Rattus norvegicus: one gene and its partner. The protein of the gene in region 2 interacts with the protein of the main gene of each other region in a biochemical or structural test. Links are inferred from orthologs where the notes say so. Each region holds a gene or a part of one and is shown on either strand. Other genes may lie near its edges. The genes, in order: Axin1 and Smurf1.

Evidence for each region.
Region 1: of the proteins of Smurf1 (region 2) and Axin1, one has a biochemical effect on the other in vitro, tested with the Homo sapiens proteins (2 studies listed by BioGRID, with this or other methods). The link is inferred for Rattus norvegicus from reciprocal best matches to the Homo sapiens genes SMURF1 and AXIN1.

Annotation. Positions count from the first base shown.
Region 1 is NC_086028.1:15,670,758-15,674,578, reverse strand, and holds part of Axin1 (axin-1), read right to left. Parts: intron 2,680-3,821; 5' UTR 2,614-2,679; coding exon 1,721-2,613; intron 1-1,720. UniProt on the Homo sapiens protein: Component of the beta-catenin destruction complex required for regulating CTNNB1 levels through phosphorylation and ubiquitination, and modulating Wnt-signaling.
Region 2 is NC_086030.1:14,836,027-14,838,712, forward strand, and holds part of Smurf1 (E3 ubiquitin-protein ligase SMURF1), read left to right. Parts: coding exon of another isoform or gene 1-4; coding exon 5-80; intron 81-1,255; coding exon 1,256-1,355; 3' UTR 1,356-2,686. UniProt on the Homo sapiens protein: E3 ubiquitin-protein ligase that acts as a negative regulator of BMP signaling pathway. Mediates ubiquitination and degradation of SMAD1 and SMAD5, 2 receptor-regulated SMADs specific for the BMP pathway.

The DNA of each region.
Region 1 (3,821 bases), on a different chromosome or scaffold from region 2:
TTAAAAATGCCCCCTATAAGGAGTTTCTCTTACCACATATTAGCCACCTGAGCCTGAAGTCAGTGCCTCCCCCATCCACATATAAGGTGGATGGACACACACACACACCACACACACGCACCACAAATAAGTGTAAAAATACCTTTTTTTTTATAGAGAAAGGTGAAGAAACAAGTTTCAAAGCTATGCTCTCTTCTGGAGAGCACCATCATGCTGCTCAAGTTGCATACATCAGAACACACAATCAGAACTCCCTTCAGCAGATCACGCCATGGAGGGAAAAGGTCCAATTCTAGAAATCCAAGCACAGCCATCAGGAGTTTCTGAACCCTCCAACAACTGTCTACACAGACTAAACTGCCCCACTACTGTCTCATCCTCCAGAAAGAATCCAAAGTACTGACTAAAAAATTAGCAAGATGTGGAAGGGAGTGGAATGATGGGTTAAAAGTTAAAAGTATGGGGGTTGGGGATTTAGCTCAGTGGTAGAGCACTTGCCTAGCAAGCGCAAGGCCCTGAGTTCGGTCCCCAGCTCTGAAAAAAAAAAAAAAAAGAAAGAAAAAGAAAAGTTAAAAGTATTTGTTGTTCTTATAGAGGGCATGAGTTGATTACCAGCACCTATGTGGTGGCTCACAACCATCTGTTAACTCCAGTCTCAGGGGATCTGGCACCCCCTTCTGGGCAGCAGGCACATACATGGTGCACATACATATGCACATACATACATACAAAACACTCATCCCCATAAAAAAACTAAATGAATCTAAAATAAAAATAAAGTAATTATAATTGTCTATGTATTTGAATGTATTTCCCTCTCATTATTAAGGGTTAAGATCCTTCTATGCAAGAAGACATGAATTTTGTGCTAAATGGTAAAGTTTAAACATTATGACTTCTGGGTTAGAGAGATAGCTCAGTGGTTAAGAGCACTGATTGCGGGGTTGGGGATTTAGCTCAGTGGTAGAGCGCTTGCCTAGGAAGCGCAAGGCCCTGGGTTCGGTCCCCAGCTCCGAAAAAAAAAAAAAAAGAACCCAAAAAAAAAAAAAAAAAAAGAGCACTGATTGCTCTTCCAGAGGTTCTGAGTTCAAATCCCAGCAACCACATGGTGACTCACAACCATCTGTAATGGGATCTGATGCCCTTTTCTGGTATGTTTGAAGATAACTACAGTGTACTTATATATAATGAATAAATAAATCTTTAAAAAAAAAAACAAACCAAACCATTATAGCTTCTAAGAATTCTCACGCTTCTAATAATTCACAAGCCATATGCTTATAATTCACAAAGCCCTATATTTAGTAGTACACGTGTTACTAAAGAGGGAACTCAAAGAGTTTCCTCCATGCTATGCAAGAACTCTCCTAAGCCTTTACTCTTTTTCATTTTGAATCTCTACAAGTTGCCCAGAATGACACACAATTTTTCGATTCTCCTACCTCAGCTTCCCAAGTAGGTGGGATTACACCTGGCAAGTCTTGTTTGTTGCGTTCTCAATGCCACAAAATATAAGAAGGTATCTAATAACAAGTATGAAGTATCTAAGTAGGAAATAAAACTATAATTCAGCAGCAGCAGCAGCAGCAGCAGCAGCAGCAGCAGCAGAGATCTCAGCTGGGGTTAAAAACAAGGCCACCTGTTACCAACACCTTTCCCTCGCTCCTTTGCCAGGTCTCTGAGCTGTGTAGAGAAAATGGACACCCTGTGCCGAACTCACCTGAGCTCTCTGCCTTCGTTGTACCGTCTACTTGAGGGGGCCCTCGGGGCAGCAGTCTCCAATAGCAGCTTCTGGGTGAGCCTGCTGGGGGGGACAGAGTCTCGGCCATCATCCTCATCTGCATCTTGGTCACATTTCCATTCTTCATCTTCATTCAAAGTGGGCAAGTATCCAGACATGCCCTTCCCTGTCCCGGACCCTGAGCTCTGGTCACTGCAGACCTTTGGACTTTCTGAGCCTGTCCTTGTGTACTCCAAATAAATGTCAGACTTAAGGAAGGAAGGGTAGGTGTTCTCCTCCATGGTGGACTGGATTTCTGTCTGTGCCTGGTCAAACATGGCAGGATCGATCTGCTGCTTCATGACGCAGTCCTTTATGAAGCTCTTAGTGGCTGGCTTGGTTTGTCTGGACACAATGCCATTGCTATCCAGGATGTACTTTCGGTAGATGGCTCTTGCCAGCTTCAGCCTCTTTTCCTCATTTGAGTCACAAGGCTCAAGCTTTCTGAAGCCACTGCAGGCAAACCAGAAGTCCAGCAGGTCAGCACAGCCCTCCTGCTTCAGGAAAGTCCTGAACAGGCTGATCCCATCTTGGTCATCCAGTAAGGAATGCAGTGACTCAGCCCACCTCAAGTATGGTGGGGTGGGGGAGGCACTGCCCTCAGGCTCATATCCCAGATCCAGATCTGAACGTCTTGGGGTGGCTGTTGAGGTCTCACTTTTAATGCTGGTACCTTTCCCAGAGCAGAAACTGTGGTTGACAGGCCTCGAATCAGTGGATACCAGTTCTCCCTCTTCTCCAGGCACTGGGGGCCGGGGGGCATCTTCGGTGAAACTTGCTCCGAGGTCCAAGGGGAAACCCTGCTCCTGGACATTCATTTTGGGACTCTGCATCAGTGAACAATGAGCGCTGCACCCTAATACCTCAGTACTTACAGCTCCCAAGGGAATCAATCTCTCCTGTTAAAACCATTAAGAGGACAAGGATTAGGAAAGGTGGTCCATGGAAACACCAGAGGTTCTCTTGAGATGTGCAGGGATGCCCTCCCACTCCCACTTGGAGCAGAGACTCAGTGCAGACTTCTAGCAGAGACATATTTTGGCCACAATTTTTGCTCTATCATTAAGGCAATTTCTGGAACTTTTACAAGACTGCCTCTCACACTAAGTGAAAGTCTGGATCATGGGGGACATCTCTCCTTCAAAGGATGCCTTCAGTGGTAAGGCCTGAAGATCACCCATCCTGGCTAAAGAAATGAATGTCAAGAGGACAAGAAAGCTAGAAAAAGGTGCCTCTGTCCCCAGTCACCAGCATCACATCAGTCAGTTGGTCCCTCATCCATGAAGACAATCACCACACTTGCCCTAGTGACACTCAGAAACAAAGAAGAGGCACACTACAGATCCTCAGGTAGACAGGCATAGGGCAAGTTTAACAGAGTCTCTATTTTCTGTCTATTCTATTATTTTTCATACTTGGCATGCCTTATGAGCAACCACACAGCAAGATGTCCTTCCAGCTCTCAACAAGTAAGAGATCAAGTGATCATAGGCTGGCTACCTTGCACACCTTGGACCAGTGATGGAAGAACACAGTCCACACTCAGAGGCATCTATGCATTGTCTACACAGACAACTTTAGAGATTCAGAAAGCTGTACTTGGCTGCTAATTTCTCTCTTACAAGAAGATTCCCTTCTGATAGCATATGGTGACTTTGGAAAGACAGAAAAGGTACAGAAAAAAAAAATCAGTTACAAATACAAGTATGCTTTTTCAATAAAGAAGCATACAAGAAATGTGATTTAGCTCCGCCAAATGAAAACTGTACCACCTATACCTTTGTTGCCGTGTGGGGTGTGCAAAAGGGAGCAAATTTGTTCAAATTTGGATTGGACCCTGCTATGATCTCTGGTCCTTTCTGCTACATCTGATATATCTCAACATATCCAAAGGGGAGACAGCAACAAAGCCCCAATTGGTCCCAGCTAAAGTGAGCTAGAGAGGCATATGTCAGGGTCAGGTAACCGGAACAAAATGAATCCTAAAAACAAAAGACAGGCATCATGGTTCATGCTTGTACTCTCAGCACTCAGGAGACTG
Region 2 (2,686 bases):
ACAGGCGCGGCAGGGCCCCGGCTCTTCACCATCCACCTGATTGACGCCAACACCGACAACCTGCCCAAGGCCCACACCTGGTAAGCTCTGCCTCGGGCTGCGGGGGTGCGGGGGCAGCGGGGACGCGCGGCCTTCGAGCTGTCCTCCTCGTAACCTCAGATCGCACCCGGGGCTAAACAGGACTTGAGTCAGCAGGGCCCCCGGGCTCACTGATCTGGGAACCCAGTTTTGTTGTGATGTACAGCAGTTAAAGCTGTGGTGCCACACTTGGAGCTGTACCCTGAAGGCTCCTGGGTGTCCCTTGGTTGTGTGTCATGCATGCGTGCACTGCCAGCGGAAGAGGGCGCTGTTGTCTGTCCGATGAGAAGCTCCACATTTCCTGTCTCAGGGCTGTTACCTCCCCTCCCGGGTCCTAGTTCCCAAGGTGGTTGGGGCGCTACACGGTAGGACAGAGGCCTAAATGCTGGCTGTGACTTAATGAAGATGAGTGGTTTAAATATATCCCAACCGTTGTTCACCCCAGGACCGTATATAAGACCTCAAGGCTGCCTCAGCATGGTATGGCGCGCGTTCCTACAGAATAGGTGTGTGGGATGGAAGCCCGGCACTCGGCCCTTCACAAGGCTCCGTCCTTCAGTAACTTAGCATCTCTGATCTAGGAGGGAGGGGGGGGGGGAGAGAATGAAGAAAACAAACAACGCAGCCTTCACTCAGTCTCTAATACCAGTCCTGACCACTTTGTGCCACTGCCTTTCTGCTTATTGGCTTTTAAATTACAGCAAGACAATGGATGTGGTGTGTGTTTTTGCACACATACTTGAAAGGAGTTTCCCCTGGACATCTTGAGTGGGAAGGTTGGGACACACCCATCTTTCTAGGATTTGGCATTCTCTCACCTTCCAGACTGAGCGTGCTGTAGTGGGGATTGACTGACCCTCAGCGGGAGACCTGACGGTCACCAGTGCAGATGACAGGCAGGCCAGGGTTCTTTCCAGTGTGGAGAAATCACACCCAGACACAGAACAGCGAGCAGAAAATGGGCAGGCTTACACGTTGATCGTGTAGCTCTTGACACTTTGCTGTGGGCTGACCAGAAGAAACAGACACAGCCAACAGGAGCCTGGGTTGAAAGCTGAAGTGGGCATGCATCTTCCCAGGGGAGGTAGACAGCACATCCCACTCATGACTCACCGTCAGAGAGTCTGAAGGCCCAGAGGCTCCCAGCAGTAACTCTGGCCCCTTTGCTCCTTTTCAGCTTTAATCGGATTGACATCCCACCCTATGAGTCCTATGAGAAGCTCTATGAGAAGCTGCTGACAGCGGTAGAGGAGACCTGTGGCTTTGCCGTGGAGTGAAGAGCAGCCCGTGGCCACAGAGTCTTGCTCACAACCACCAGACCCAAAGCATATGGCGTCTGCGCGCCTCCCGCATGGCGGGCGGAGGCCTGAGATTCCAGAAACCGAGGGAAAAGGCTCGTCTCCCTCCTCCTTTGGAGAAGGCAGGCCAGGGGACTTTCATAGGTGGCTCCCACCCATTTATTCCTCCTTTATTATAGTTCGCCCACTCCTCCATCACCCATCCAATAAAACGCAGCCAGGTTTCGCCCTCAGCCTCCTTGGCATGGTGGTAAGGCTGTGGTGTCTCCGGGAGCATCAACCATGGTCAGGGCCAAGCTGGGCCCCGAGGGTTTGCGTGGCCTCTGTACCAGCTCCCCCTCTAACTGTAGCCGCAAAGCCCCCTTTCAAGTTCAGCAGCTGCCAATAGCTTACTGATCTCAAATTCCAGAGGCCTCACAGGCTTGCAGCCTGTCCAGATAGCCGGTGGATCTCCAAGCAGGAGGTAAAGGCAGTGAATGCTTGCTGGAACTCCACTATGGTAGGAGACTCGAGGCGATGTGTTTTCCCCTTTGAGAGGTAAAGGAATTGCAACAGCCTTCACTGGAAGCCTGGGTACTTTTCACAGTGTCCTGGCTAAAAATAAGGTTTTGCAGGGGAAAAAAATCTTTAAAAGTACAATTTGCTGTGTTCCCTACCCAGTTTGAAATTATCACGTCATGGAGCTAAGCAAAGAATAACCAAAACCAGCCTCTGACCCCTGGGTCCAGCTCAGTTTCTGTGCCTGGGGATCCAGAGGCTCCTAGCTGTCTTGAAATGGACTCACATATGGGGATTGCTAAGAGCTAAACTAACAGAACAATTTTGTCACCGCAGCCATTGGGTGGAACAGCAGGAGAGGCCGCTGACCTGGGGTCCCCTGATGTAGCTCCCCAGGGTTGGTGCTGTGCACAGAGCAGGGTGTGGTGGGGCGCGTGGCAACAGGGTGGGGGCTTTACCTCCCTACGTGGCCCTCTTCCCCATGGCAGCGGTGATGCTAACAGTTCTACTCAGTTTGCTTGCTCAGTCTCCGAGCAAGGCCAAAGCCAGCCTAACACGTCTAACAGCACTTCCGGTCGCACACGGCTTCACAGACGTTGACTCTTACAGCCGAGCAGCTGGACTGAGACAGCTGAGCTCTGGTGGAAGGCAGGGCAGCAGCCAGGTTTCCATTTGTAGTTTTGTTGTTTTTGTTTGTGGTGGGGGTGAGAACAGGGTAATTCATTAGCAAGACATTTCATTGGTACCAGGGCTCAGGTTCAGCCACGAGTTCAAGTTGTATGGCAGATGATCAGGAAGGTCCTGTTGGGACA